Linked DNA regions of Danio rerio. The protein of the gene in region 2 purifies or fractionates together with the protein of the main gene of each other region. This does not show direct contact. Links are inferred from orthologs where the notes say so. Each region holds a gene or a part of one and is shown on either strand. Other genes may lie near its edges.

Region 1 (7,934 bases), on a different chromosome or scaffold from region 2:
GTTTTCTAAAATAATAATAGAAAAACTCCACGATGGTGTGATCAAGACTTCCAGATAAAGAAAAAAAATTGTGTGAGACTGAAGATGGCAGTCAGAGGAGAAAATAACATAAAAATTTACTGCCTAATTCCATAGACACTGCATTAGAAACACCTGGCTTAAGCGGTTATTAATTTTTTGTAATTTCAGACAAAGATGATACAATACATACAGAAATACATAAAATATTCATACGTTTTTTTTAAATCTAAATATTAAAAACTTTTAAGGATTTAAGATGCTGATGACCGTTAAACATGTCATAACGGGCTTGGGAAAAGGGTCCACTACACTCAGTAAATGGCGGTGAGTTTGGTGGACTGATGACCTTCACGGCCAATCACAGTCATTTCTGTTGAACACGTGAACACAATGGCAAATCAGCGCTGTTTACGAACATGTTCAACAACGCTCAAATGTAAGCGAGAAATGGACGTTTTTTAAATTTCAGTAACGATTTGTACCGAAATGCAGTATCATGACAACCCTAATATTTACTAAATATTAATGTAAGAAACTAATCCAAAACTAAATCATTAATTATATAATGAAAATCTATTAAACCTGGCTAATTCAGCCAGTTGGACACATGGTTTCCGCTACATTCCTTCTTCCATGGCGGAGCGACACACCAAATTGCATCCCGCCATGGCTACATTAAAGCTTCTCATTTAAAACATTCAGTCATTGTTGTTGTCGTTTTTAATAGCATGTTATAATCGCACTAAAACTTATTGACAGGTAAGTTAGTTAGAACAAGGAAAACTTTTCTGTAATCGTAGTAGTGCTGTGCGTCATTTGTTTAACCTTTTGAGGTTACGTGCTGACTGACTCACTGACGTGTGGTGCGTGAGGCCAGCAAACACAACATAGTTTTCACTTAGGATGAAAACATTCATTCATTCATTTTCTTGTCGGCTTAGTCCCTTTATTAATCCGGGGTCGCCACAGCGGAATGAACTGCCAACTTATCCAGCAAGTTTTTACGCAGCGGATGCCCTTCCAGCCGCAACTCATTTCTGGGAAACATCCACACACACATTCACACACACACTACAGACAATTTAGCCAACCCAATTCACCTGTACCACACGTCTTTGGATTGTGGGGGAAACCGGAGCACCCAGAGGAAACCCACGCGAAGGCAGGGAGAACATGCAAACTCCACACAGAAATGCCAATTGAGCCGAGGTTCAAACCAGCGACCCAGCGACCTTCTTGCTGTGAGGCGACAGCACTACCTACTGCGCCACTGCCTCGTCCAGGATGAAAACAGTTTCCATAATTTTAATTTATTTATAGATAAAGGTCTGTGGCTCTGCATATAATGACTTTAGCTTGCTGGAGTTTATGGCCGTTTCACTTTACTTCAATAGGCCTACAGAGCGGCATTGATGTGTCCTGGAGACATTCATAAATATTCCAAGCAAATCTAATAAATGTTGAACACATACTCACTACATAAACACGCTAAATTGCACTTTAGCAGTGTTTATTTGAGAGCGCACAAGAAGATCTGCGCTTGAGCAGCGTATATTTGAGGGGGAGTGCAAGAGGTTTTGTGCAGAGGAAATCGGCGCGCAAGCCAAAAGATTTGCATGCTCGTATTAAATAAATGCGATCTCGACTAATACTGCGCTCACAACATTTCTCCATTTGTCATTGAAATAACGGCATAGGTAATTGGTAGATTTAAGTAAAAGGTCTGCCGCCACAGCTGGAAAAAATCCTAGAGAAAACATTGCTGTTTTTCGTAGATTTAATTCAGGCAAACTTTAGCACACAACATTGCATAATCAAAAATTATATATCATTTTATGACATGCAAAATAGCATTTAAGACTTTTTAAATGCTTTTTAAGGGCCCTAAATTTTTCTTCATTGATTTATCAACTTTTTTTCAATTATTTTTTAGGGGTTTTCACCTTTATTCGATAGGACATTAGAGAGAATTGACAGGAAAGCATGAGGAGCAGAGAGAGGGGAAAAAAATCTGCATAGGACCACGAGGTGGAATCGAACTCAGGTCACCACGAGCACCGGAGTGCATGTGTTGACTCACTAACCACTGTACCACTGGCGCTGACTGATTTACCAACTTTTAATACTTTTTAACTTTTATCAACTTATAATACCTTATAATGTAGATGTTGGACTGAAGCAGCTGACATTCATTTCCAATGAGGAAGTGCAGAGGGTTGCTGAAGAACTACTGAGATATTTCAGCTGCTGTCTAGTCTTTCTACACCTTTCTTTCTTCATGTGTTCAATACTTTTTCCCTGCGTCATTTCATTTTATTTAGCATAACTTAATTTGTAAATTAATTAGATTTGTTTTCTTTTCATATACAGATTGTTTTGGTTGTTATCAACCTCCGGTGAAAATTTCAAGTCAACAGCACCTTTAGAAATATGTTCTCTGAGAAAAATGCTGACTTCGAGAGTTCACACTTGGCTTATAATCAATAGAGCTGAATTGTCATGCTATCCCGGGAGAGAGCCCTGAACTCGTAATATCCTCGAGCCTGGGGCTCCCTCCCGTCAGAAGGGTCGAGAGGGGAGTTCGAGCTCAGGTGGGTCTCGAGAACTCCCCTGCTTGTCGCCGTGTGAGAAGTGTAAACTAAGTTTGTCCTGGGTGATAACTTGGTTTAGTTGATAGGCTATGGTGTATGTTTTTGGTCGGTGGGAGGAAACCGGGGAACCCGGGGGAAACCCACGCAAACATGGGGAGAGCATAGAAACTCCGCACAGAAACGCCAATCGGCCTGATGGGAGGTTGGACCAGCGGTGTTCTTGCTGTGAGGCAACAGTGCTAGCCAATGGGCCACCGTGTCGCCATATCGAAAAAAAAGGGTGGGAAGTAGGAGTGGAAGGGGGGAAGCTTCAAGACGAAGATAACCGGAGTGAAAAATTTTGGTTATTTATAATGCTCTATTATAGAGCAGATTACAGAGGTGCCAGCCGTGTTGATCATAAGCATGTGATCATCTCGAAATTATTTTATAAATAAACCACACATGTTCAACATTTACTTATTCCACTGTGAGTATAGCCATGTAGATATGGTATATGGCATTAACAAAGCACCCTTCTGACCTCAGTGGAGTCTTGTCGTTCAGCTTTGGGCAGAGGTTGTAGAGCCATGGGGTTCATCTCGCTCTCGTCTCCACTGCCCTCCTCCAGATCACTGTCTCCCTCTGAGTCTCTGCCAGCCTCCTCCCCGCCGGCCCCCTCTTCATCGGGACCCTCCACATAACTACATGAAATCCCTGGTCCTGGGCTACACGGACAAATCTCCCGCTCATGACCGACCCGATCCTCGTCCCCAACAAAGCAGAGCTCCTCGCTGTGTGAAGGCGAGCTGATGCTGTCGATTCCGCTGTCCCGATTGGCCAGCTTCCCGTCCATCTGCGCTGGGGGGAGGGACAATCGGTCAGAGGGGATTTCTGATTGGTTGGCTGTCATCTCCATGTTGTCCAGCAGTTTATCTGAAGCGCCGTAGCCTGATTCCATGGAAAGACGCTTATCTGAGCAGGACGCCCCAAGCTCGCTGTCATCTTCTTCAGTTTCGTCTACATCTTCTTCTTCTTCCTCCTCTTTTTCTTCTTTCTCAAGCTCGTCCTCTGCCAGCGGCGCCTCTAGAGGTTCCTGAAGGGATGTGCAGGGCAGGATAAACTCTGATGTTTGAGGACTAAGTGACCCAGGAGTGGCCTGCTGATCCGGGACCCGCGGGGTACACATCACGCCCCCAGTGATATCTGGCACCACAATTATCTGCTCCCTGAATATTAAACACAAAAAAAGCACAAATAAATATATTGTGGATGACTTCGCGAAACATTTTTTGATATGTGTATTTACAAATATCTAAAACACATGTAATAAACACATGTTTGTGCTGAATAAAATGTATTAAATAAACTCATTTTAATAAAATAAATATAAAAATAAATGTAAATAATATATATTTTTGTCACTGAAAACCTTTTTACACTAAACTATATTAAATAAGATTAAATTAATTTGCTTAAGACTTAAAAATAAATACAAACATATTAAAGAAATATGATATGAGATAAAGAATATAAATATAATGTAAATAAGAATGTAAGATTCATGCTAACAATAAGAAAAAAGTATTAATATCTGTATTAATATCTGCAATTCTACTTACTTTTTTGTTTTACCTTAAATTAAAAAATTTACTGAAACATTCCCAAAAAAAAGTCAAGATATCCCAGGACAAACTGCTCCTTCGATACATTTTGTTTTGCAAGAATTAAATAGCTCAAGTAACAAACGATTTACTAAATTTTATATCTATATAATAGTTATGCTTAAAAAAAAGAATGAATTTCTTATGCAACTGTACTCACATCTCCCTTTACCTTTAGTTAATCTATAGTTATATTGTCTGGAAAGTGTTAATATTTTATGCTTCTTAATTGTATCTTAATTTACCTTAAATTTAAAACAAAAGTAAATAAAAAATATATTATTATCATCATTATTATTATTAGCCATTTTATTACCAAAATAGCCATAATCTCTGAAAAAGTACAAAAAGTACATTTTGTTTAAATCACATTTAATATTTTGACTTGAACTATTCATTTTGATATGAATATATATTATAATTTTTTATGTTTTGATATAAATATCTGTATTTTATATAATATATTATTTATTTTATATATGTGATATATATTTTATATGATTATGCTTTTAAATTATATAATATAATATAATATAATATAATATAATATAATATAATATAATATAATATAATATAATATAATATGATATAATATAATATAATATAATAACTAAAACTAAAAAAATTTTCTTCAGCAAAATGAAAGATTTAGTCTCTTGTTTACATATATATATATATATATATATATATATATATATATATATATATATATATATATATATATATATATATATATATATATATAATAAATATTTTTAATATAATATTTTTTAATATTTTAATATATTACTGTAAACTTTATTGTCCCCTTTCGGGGTGATTTGTTCTGCAGCATAATAGATTTGCAACATATATATTATACCATACATTTAAGACAAACATTAAACAGCATTAGTACTACTAAAAACAGTGGCTACCTCTTCCCATTAAAATTCAGCAAATCAATCGCACATAAAACAAATGAAAATGAGCTTACCTATGATCAACAAACGGAGATATCATCACTCATGACTGACTGTAGTTATGAATAATAAACCGTACAGTAATGTCTGTTTGTGTTGCTTTCTCACCTCTCAAACTTCTCGATGAGCGAAAGGACACAAGTGGGGGAGGAGCTTCCCTCTGCCCTCGGCATGGTGGCACGTGATTGGCGGGGGTCGGCTGGCAGTGGGCGGGATGGTGGTGGCGGTGGGAGGGGCTTGTCTGGGGGGCGGGGCCGTCGAGCGTTCTGCTGCTGTAGATGAGGGGGTTTCGGGGGCACTGAACGAGACAAGATCAATACAGAAATCAATAAAGTGAGACTGGTGCACAATCACATGACCGCAACACAGAGAGACACACAGATATTAACTGGAACATCAGCAGAGACTGTACTTTTATGTATGCATCCTAATTGCATATTGTATTTTATATCACAATTAATTGGTTCATGAGGTCAATTTAAAATACAGATAATATTAAAATAATAATGACTTCTATGTAGATAGATAAAGGTTTTGTATATCCTTTATGTACATTACAAAACATGCACTACTATTGTTATAGTAATAAAAGTTCAAATCATTCACTCATTTTGGTTATTTAAAAAATATATTGATATTACATATATATTTATTTCATTAAATTACATTAAAATAACGAGAAAACAGAAAAAATGTATGCATTACTACATTTATTACGCTTGTTATGATCTGAAATGCTTATTTAAATCAGAAAAAAATTACTTATCATTGTACTCCACATTAAACTCCATTAAATTTGAAATACAGCAGTTCAGAATTGTAATACTCTCTCTGTTCCTTTTGTTCGCACTTAACTGGCTAAGAAGGCTTTAACGTATATTAATACTCTTCAGTCTAAGTAACAAAAATGGGTCTCTTTGGATAATTTTAAGTGAATTGCTCAGCAAACGGAGGGTGTTTCTATGATTTGTATTTTTTTTAGGTATTCTTAATGTTTGTCCTGTGAAGTCTGTAAAATCTTTTTTGTTCATTTTGGCCAGGACACTCCTGCTAAAGAGACTAATAATCTCAGAGAGTCTGTTTCGGTTAAATAAAGGGTAAACAAAATACAATTAACAATTCATATATTATTTTATAAAAACAAAGATATATACATATCTTTATATCTTATCTTTAAAAAAATAAAATATAAACATAAAAACAAGATAAGAAAAGTTAGAGTTAGATTGTTTAAATTAAAGGTATTTTATTTGAATTATATATTTTTATTTGATGAATTTCATTTAAAAATGTAGTTTAGTTGTCTTATTTAACAAAATATATTTTAATTTTACAAATAAACGTGCAGCATTTGAGAAATAAAAAAGGCCTCTATTCATTTCTAAATTGTCAGCTAATTTTGTAAAAAAAAATATATATATATTGTGAGATCAGTATGGTAAATTGTATCAACTTGTTAGTTAGGCGAATCTTTACAGAGGGTGATGTTTAATTTTAGGTTAACTCTCCCTGCTAACTTCAACAGCAGTTTATGTTGATGTAAGACGTTAATTTTAGGTTCGATTTAGGTGGTGAAGTCGGGTGACCAAAATTCAATGTCTAGTCAGTGTATAATGACATTATTTTGTTGTCCAATAATGACATCAAATGATGTTGATAATTGGTTGATTTTAGGTTGCGTTGGACGACTGAAATTCAACGTTGAGCCAACATCTTAAACCAATGTCATATTGACATCAAATACTGAAAGTTGGTCGGCGCAGTAGCCTAGTGGTTACTGCAATGACATATAGTGCATAGTAGCACATCAGGGTGTCCCGAGTTTGAATCCTGGCTCGAGAACATTTCCCTACTTCAAATGCATTTTAGTCACGTGACCAGCTCAGCTAAAATGGTGGATGACATTGTACAGCACTTGTTTTGGATGTTCTCTATTTGACAGCATTGTTAAAGATTAATTTCACTCTGTACATGCTCAAAATTTCTTTTCTTCAAAAGACAATGTTTACTTAGAGCTTACTTGTTTTGGCATGTCTCTCAGTCTAATGTCTCTCATGCTTCTGCAACTTTTATACTCCTGTGTTACTCACAGAAACAGCTCCATCGCACTGTTAATCCAATTTAAAAAAACAAAACTTTTCCTCATCATATTGCTGCAACATTTCCAAGAGCTGAAAAGTTAATGAACACCTTATCGCATACTCAGTACAGCCACTGTGTTTTCAGTCATTTCAGTATGGATGATCAACTTTTGGGAAATTATTAAAAACGTGAAAGTGAAATTACTTGCTTCAAAGAGACTTTGACGATAGTAATAGTTTGATTGTGGTGTTTCATGTCTGTACTGCACTTTAATAATGCGACTAAAATCGACATACTCCACATGCCTTAACTCGATTTCTGTTTAGTTCGATTGTGGCTTTAGTTGGATTAAATTAATCAAAAATCGCTGTTTACATGGTAGACTCTTAATCAGAGTATTGTCTTGATAGTATTAATATCGGATTATTCAGACATCCTCTGGTTCCAGGAATCTCCCGCTAATACATAGAGACTCCCGGATGCTCACAAACAAATGATAATCTCCCGGATATAATTATAATGATAATCGCACATCTCACACCTGGTCCTCAAATACTTTGCCAACCCCTCTCTGCCGCACCCCCCACCCCTCTCTGTGCAACCCCTCCGCTCTTCAGATACGTCCCCTTCAGATA
Region 2 (7,934 bases):
CTTCTTAATATCAACAATATCATTTCAGTGACCTTATTTGATTAAACAATACTGACCCCTAAAAATTGTAGAACCATGCGAAGCCCTTTGGTTCATGATCAGCTAAGTCTCTACAGACCTGATCTCTAACGGGAGGGAGGCCAAGACAAACCAGCCTACCTGGGACCATGAGCAGCTCTCTATTGATTCAGTTTCAGTAAGTGGGGGTGACCGGCTGAACGAATGGACCCAGGGGAGAGAGAAGCCAGAGGATGGGAGGAAACCTCATAATATTGATGGCACAGAGCAATTTTCATAGTAGGGCATAGTCTACTGCAGCGCGTTGAAGAAGAGTGGAATATGAAATAATGAACGTTTCTTTAGAATAATCCCCAATCATATGTTTAAAATTCCAGATCTAAGCATTGCTCTTTTTAGACAGTATTTTGGACAGAAATACAGCGCACTTCTAGCTGTATTTGTGCTCGTTTGAACCTTGTTCAGTTCGGAGTTGTTCACAGAATTCATTACATCGAAGCAAAACTAAAAAAAAAAGTTTCTTTAACAGCAGATGACAGTTGTTGTAGATGCTCTATGTCAACATACTCACATTTTAAACCTGCGCTAAATTGAATTCCTTCTGCTCTTCTTTTTTGACACCTTCTGTCACTTTTCCAATTGATCAACTAAAAGTCAAGTTCTTATTTGTTGCTCTTACTACTGGGATTAAGGACAAGCCTTTTGTCAGGTAGTGTACTGTTAGTATCTGCTTAATAATAAAGGTAGAAATACAGTTCACTGAAAACAAAAATAATTTGATGGACGGCTAATCTGTGTTTTAGAGCCTAAAAGTGTATTTACAGTAACTTAAACTATATAATCAAAAATGGAAGAAACAAAACAACTCGTGGACCAACAGCAGCATCTGAAGCAGATATCCGACAACATGTCAGAAGATTGCCATGTCAGGTTTACCCTCACTGGAATCAAATGCTACTGACCTCCGACCAGTTCCACTAATAATTCTTGTATTTATTTTGTTATATGGAAGAGTTGCCTAAAATAATGCTAAAAAAACAGCAGGCTGATTTATAAACTCTTGACTGTGCTATCTATATTACAGACATGCAACAAAAACTTTTGAACGCTTTCTGCTAGTATTGGTTTGGGATTCGTGACACTGTAAACGCTCTGTAAGACTCTGCTGGATCCATTAGCCTGTAATGAAACTAAGGACAAGGGGGATTTTTCCATCGTTTCCTCTCCATGACCTAGAGAGGGAAGCCAGAGCAGCCCTATTTCTGCCAATCACTTCTTATAAAGGCAGCTTTGCCACATTAAAAAGTTGGTTTGAATGATATCCAATGGTAAAAAATACACTCTGAACGGCACTTGAATTGTCATTTAATACTATAGTACAAAATATGGAAATCTGTTTAAGAGATTGGATGTTGGAGGAAGGGCAACTTGTGTCAAGATATCAAGCTGATGCTGCACATCTTCAGTTTCAATAAACGCTTTGAACATCTGATGAATTCTGGAGTCAACGAAGGACAGACAGTTCACTCCAGGAGTTGGCTTATAGGCTGCAGATTTAAAGCGACGGTTCACTTAAAGGGATAGTTCACCCCAAAATAAACATTTCACTATCATTTACTCACCATCCGCTTGTTTCAAAGCTGGTTGAGTGTCTCTTCTGTTGAACACAAAGGAAGATATACTAACGAATGTCAATTGACTTCAATGGTATTTTTTGTTCCTACAATGGCTGTTTTCTCCCAACATTCTTCAGAAAATTTTGTTTTGTTCTCAACAGAAGAAATAAATTCATAAAGGTTTAGAACAACTTGAGTAAATGTTCAATTTGGGTGAACTATCCTTTTAAAAATAACAATTCAGTCACCATTTGACTCTCAACAGCTCAAACATGCATTCTTGCAGATGATTCTGTGTTTATATTCTGTTCGTTTCTCTCATTTAGACTCTCTCTGCTTCTGTTTCCAACTCATTAATCCTGTGGCCTTGCGTGGTACATCTTTTCTCGACTCAAGCAAAGTTGTCATGCTTTGCCTGCACTGTAAAACAGCTGGAGTTTAACTGTGGCCAAGGAAGCCAAGAGTTTTTTACTCAAGGACATCCACATCCTGAGGAAGAATCTCTTTTGTTATTATTAAAGAGGAGCTATTATGCTCTTTTTACAAGACAAAATATAAGTGCCCCCATAATGTTTCTATAAATGTCAGCTAAAAATGCTCCACAGATTTTAGTAAACTATTTTTGTAGATGGGCTATTTTAAGTGGAAGCAAGACATGCTGTTTCTATGTGTGTCTCTTTAAATGCCAATCCAGGATCATTATTGATATGTACCCATGTATACATTTCTGGAGAACACGAAATACCTCCCAGGAGGTACGTTTTTGCAGTCTGTTTTTTCGCAAATCCACCAGAGGCTGCTGTGTACGCTTTTGCAGATCTCAAATTTCTCTCGCAAGTGCCATTCATCCCTGTTGTTCTTGCCTGAATCCACCAAAGGTCGCTGACAACTGACTGACTGACTGACTGACTGACTGACTGACTGACTGATTCCCGCCAAATCCCCTTTCCCTAAACCCGACTGATAGTGTTTTCAAAAGCATTGATTAACCCACCCACAGCCTTCCCTAAACCCAACCGATATTGTTTTCAAAAGCATTGATTAACCCGCCCACAGCCTTCCCTAAACCTAATAGATAGTGTTTTCAAAAGCACATATTAATCCGCCTGTTGTGTAAGTTGAATATTAGACCACTCACAGGAGAAGATAACTGCATTTTTCATCCTCACCCTTATTTTTTAGGGGTCCGCTGAACATTAGCTCTGCTTGCTGTTGAAACTTGCGCCATGACTCGGGCAGGTTATTAGCCTCCCAGTTCATAATCGGCATCGGGACTCCTGCTGAATCCATCTTCGTTTGTCATCCGTTTATTCTGACACCATGTTGTGTCAGTTGAATATTAGACCACTCACAGGCTGGCTGTAACAACGTATGTTTTTTTTAATATCAACTTAACTCAGAACATAGCGCTTTCTTAGCGCTTTCTTACAGCATCGCATGCGTTCCCTTGTTTCCTATTCTCTCTATCATTTCCTTGAGGAACTTGACTGACACTCATTCTAGCCAATAGGAACATGGAATGTCCTGCTTATATAACATCATTGGCTTAGAGTTAAACACAAACATTACACCGCCCACCGCCTTTTCTAAACCCAACAGACAGTGTTTTCAAAAGCAATCCAGAAAGGAAAAGCCTTAGCCTGATTTTTACCACATTTTCAGATTTTACCACATTCTTTCTCTGTTATTTACTAGTTTATTTAATGTTTTGTCTTTTGTTTTTGTTTTGCCTGCTTTCTGGAACCGTTCTCACTGGACTCAAACCACATTGTTGTGGTCAACTCCTCTCTGCGTCTCAAGTCCACTTATGCGTAAGGCGAGCCACTGGGCAAACTGGTAACAGCAGAATAGCCATCTACACCGAGGTAAGTGGTCAGCCGGTAGCGTGAAAAGAAACAGAAGCTGTTTATGGTTCCATACCGCCCTGTATCGTTCGTTTTAAAGACGAAATGCAGCCATACGTTGCTCTGGCTACATAATTCGTGCTCTCCAGAAATGTATATGGGAATACGTTTTCACAATGAGCCTGTGTTGATAAATGTAAATGAACTGCTACAAAAGAAGGTGGAGCCTTTACAGTGCATATTCAGACGTTACCAAACATTGGTTTGGTTTTGATTTATCACTTCTGTGTCATGTGAAATTCGTCAGTTTCGTCAAATTCGTCAACCTCATCAGTTTAAACTCCTGTTGCATGGTTTTCTGTCTACACTAGATGTGGCATACTGACAAAAATGACAAACTATTTACAGTGGGCATCTTTCACATTCAGTATAGCTAATATTTGCTGGTATGTTTAAATAAAATAAAGAAAAAAAACACTTAGCAGCAAACAAACTTCCAATATCAATGTCTCATATTGAACACCTATTAAGATTGGTTTAGACATATGCTGCGTAAGAAACCGCCTATTCAGTTGGTGCTGCATTTGAATTTAAACGTACTACTCGGCAGTTAGAAAAGTACATTCTACACAGTATGAATGTGAAAGGTATGAATGGAATACTACATCCGCTATTTTGTCATGGTCACATGACCTACCTGTATCAGTTGTGTTGCTTCAGTCCCATTCATGAATTCTCTTGCGGGGCATCATGGGATAGCGCAGCGTGCATGGAATGCGCACTTCAGAATCTTGCCGGAAGTAGTAAGTCATCCGGGTATTTCTTCTCGCATACTGATTTTCGAACTCTATGAATTCGGACAAACGACTCGGCTCACATACTGATTTTAGCGTACTGTATAGTATGAAAGTATTTGGTTTCGAATGCAGCCATAGTCTAGACTAGTTTAGACAGATGGTTATGTTATGATAGATGATACCAGAAGGTCAAGCTCTATTATCAGTGAGTTCCAATGGGGTTACTGGATATTTACTCATCTTGATAACTCCTGACAACTCCTACTAATCCTCCCCACCCTCTTCCTCATGATTTCAAGATAATATAATGACTTCCATTATCTCACACTAACATTTGTATACACTTTCAACAGTAGGATGCTAGTTCTTGAAAGCCTATCATTGCTAGCCCTCTGGATGAGCAATCCTACTTTCAAGAGTTCAGCAAGCGTGACAAGAAACAAAGTTCATAACCTCAGTAGAGTCAATGTTCAACTTCTACTATGCAAGGCTACGAGATATGTTAACATAAAAGGTTTGCACATAGTTTGAACATTTACAGCATTAGCAAGATCATTGATCTGGGAAAACAGAAACCAAAGGCAAAAAAAACAACACTCAAGGCTAAATTAACTTGTTGTTGTTAATCTTCACAATGGTGACTCTTATCCATTAGCACATGTTTCAACCCACAAACTTCTCATGCCTATCTCATGGACATTCCACATCAATCTGGCCTCCATTCCAGAGGTGAGGAGGGGGTTCTGTCTGACCAACCGCCAACAAAACTGGCCATACGACACCTCCAGGTGGAGCCAGACAGTAGATTTACATTGTGAGGGGGGGGGGGGGGGGGGGGGTGTCAGAAGAGAGAATCAAGGGATCTTAAGGACAAAGACCAAAGGAAAAGCTATAGATCAAAGAAGAAGTGCACTCTCAGATATAAAGGTACACAATCTGTCACTGGGGACATTTTTGTTCCTTACAAGTCCTTAAAGGTACATGTTAATATTTACAAAGTACAAATGTGATACTTTAAAGGTACAAAGTGAGCCTTTAAGGTGCACAAGTATACCCTAAAGGTACTAATGTCCACCTGTATGGTACAAAAGTGTACCTTTTGATAAGGTACCACCCTGGTGACAGACCTTGTACCTTATTTCTGAGTGTGTGTGCATCAGAACAGCGTCTGAAAGCATTCATGTGTGCAGGCGACTCTGAATGCTTGTGGTTTGTGTATACACGAGCTTTCGCCAATAAACACCACGTGGTAAGCCAATTAGCTCCTGTGTTTGTGTGTGTGTGTGTAAGGGACTCACCGCTTTCGCTCTTCTCAATGACGTCCACCGTTTCTCCAGCCTTCAGACTGATCTCCGAGTTTTCCTGCCTCTCGTAGTTGGCCACCACCACGTACTGCTCCAGCACCATGGGCTCACTGCTGTCCAGTCCTGCCGGCGAGGGGAAGAAACAAGCTGTCAGCCACCGTCCCGCGCTCCCCCTGCCAACCCTGCCCTGCCAGCGACCCGTGGCTTGACCCCGGTACACCGCCATCCGCACTCCGCAACCTAGCGTAACTCAGACTCCTGCATGCTCTGCAAAGACAGGCCATTTAGACGAACCTTCGCCCTCGCTGGACGTGCATTTGAATGGGGGAAACGGACAATTGCAAAAAAGCAAAACGAGGTAAAGATCCTTCAGGGACTCGAGCGCTCGGTAGGCTCTTGGTGATGCCGGGTCTCCATAATACAGTGAAGGTTTTCAGGAGGAAATGGGGAGGAAGGGAAAAAAGAGAGCTGTTTACTGTAGGGGACGTGACTCGTGAGTGGAGGGATAGAAAGTTTTTCTTCAACAGGAGAGCAAGAACAGGCCTCCCTCCCTCTTTCTCCTGCCCTCCCTTTCTCTTTTTTCACTTGAATTCTCTCTCTTACTCTGTCCCTCCTCCCATCTGGTTGAGAGAGAGAGAGAGAGAGAGAGAGAGAGAAACGCCAATCAGGGTAGACTGCTCTCCAAGCCTTAAATAGAAACATATGAGTGGGCCGAGTAAAGAGAGAGAAGCTGTGTTTATGCGAAACGCAAGAAGAAAGCATTTCAGCTGAGGTTAAGCCACACTCTCTCTTTCTCTGTCCTTCTGTCTTTCTTTTTGTGGTTCCTCTGATTATCTCATTAACCTGCTCTTCTTTAATAGTGACATAAAGAGTGTCGAGGTAAAAATGAAAGTTCTTTAGTGTTTTACAAGTTATATAAGACTATATTTGTATACATGTGTTTATGCGAGGTTTTTTTGTCTTTGCATATGTTTAAGATGAGGACCAGGGCTTTGAAACCTCAAAATGATGATACATCGACCGGCCAATTTATTAGGTACACCTTACTACAGTAGGACCGATTTGGACCCCCTTTTGCCTTCAGAACTGCCTTAATCTTTTGTGGCATAGGTTCAAGAAGGTACTAGAAATATTCCTCAGAGATTTTGTTCCATATTGACATGATCGCTTGACGCAGTTGCTGCAGATTTGTCGGCTGCTCAACCATGATGTGAATTTCCTGTTGCACCACATCAAAAGGTGCTCTATTGGATTGAGATCTGGTGCCTATGAAGGCCATTTGAGTACAGTGAACATATTGCCATGTTCAAAAAAACAGTCTGAGATGATTCACGCTTTATAACATGGGGCACTATTCTGCTGGAAGTAGCCAGCAGAAAATGGGTACACTGTGGTCATAAAGGGATGGACATGGTCAGCAACAATACTTAGGTAGGCTGTGGCGTTGACATGATGCTCAGTTGGTACTAATGGGCCCAAAGTGTGCCAAGAAAATACCCCCACACCATTTAACTACCACCATCAGACTAAACCTTTAATACAAGGCAGGATGGACCCATTTTTTAATGTTGTTAATGCCATATTCTGACCTTACCATCTGAATGTCGCAGCAGATATCGAGACTGAACAGACCAGGCAACATTTTTACAATCTTCTGTTGTCCAATTTTGGGTCAGCCTGTGCAAACTGTAGCCTCAGTCTCCTGTTCTTTGCTGACAAGAGAGGCACCCTGAGTGGTCTTCTGCTGCTGTTGTGTGTTCAGCAATTCTCTTCTGCACACCTCGGTTGTAACAAGTGGTTATTTGAGTCACTGTTGCCTTTCTATCAGCTCAAACCAGTCTGGCCATTCTCCTCTGACCTCTGGTATCAAGGCATACCAGAGGCATAACAAGGCATTTGCACCAACAGAACTTCTACTCACTGGATATTTTTTCTTTTTCGTACCATTCTCTGTAAACTCTAGAGATGGTTGTGCGTAAATAATCCCAGTAGATCAGCAGTTTCTGAAATACTCAGACCAGCCTATCTGGCACTAACAACCATGCCACGTTCAAAGTCACTTAAATCACCTTTCTTCCCCATTCTGATGCTCGGTTTAAACTGCAGCAGATCATCTTGACCTTGTCTACACCCCTAAATGCATTTAGTTGCTGTCATGTGATTGGCTGATTAGAAATTTGCATTGATGAGCAGTTGGACTGGTATACCTAATAAAGTGGCCGGTGAGTGTATAGTATATTATGGAATGTTTTTGCACAATTTTCATAATTTAATTTTTGAAATATTTTTAGATATACAAAAAACTATAACACATATATATAGGGAGAACATGCAAACTATATTATATATATATAT

Evidence for each region.
Region 1: the proteins of sh3pxd2aa (region 2) and fgd1 purify together in Homo sapiens (affinity purification with mass spectrometry; 3 studies listed by BioGRID and IntAct, with this or other methods). This does not show direct contact. The link is inferred for Danio rerio from reciprocal best matches to the Homo sapiens genes SH3PXD2A and FGD1.

The regions. Positions count from the first base shown.
Region 1 is NC_133183.1:9,284,433-9,292,366, reverse strand, and holds part of fgd1 (FYVE, RhoGEF and PH domain-containing protein 1), read right to left. Parts: intron 5,516-7,934; coding exon 5,326-5,515; intron 3,821-5,325; coding exon 3,136-3,820; intron 1-3,135. UniProt on the Homo sapiens protein: Activates CDC42, a member of the Ras-like family of Rho- and Rac proteins, by exchanging bound GDP for free GTP. Plays a role in regulating the actin cytoskeleton and cell shape.
Region 2 is NC_133176.1:50,954,992-50,962,925, reverse strand, and holds part of sh3pxd2aa (SH3 and PX domain-containing protein 2A), read right to left. Parts: intron 6,079-7,934; exon of another isoform or gene 5,874-6,078; intron 5,703-5,873; coding exon 5,574-5,702; intron 1-5,573. UniProt on the Homo sapiens protein: Adapter protein involved in invadopodia and podosome formation, extracellular matrix degradation and invasiveness of some cancer cells. Binds matrix metalloproteinases (ADAMs), NADPH oxidases (NOXs) and phosphoinositides.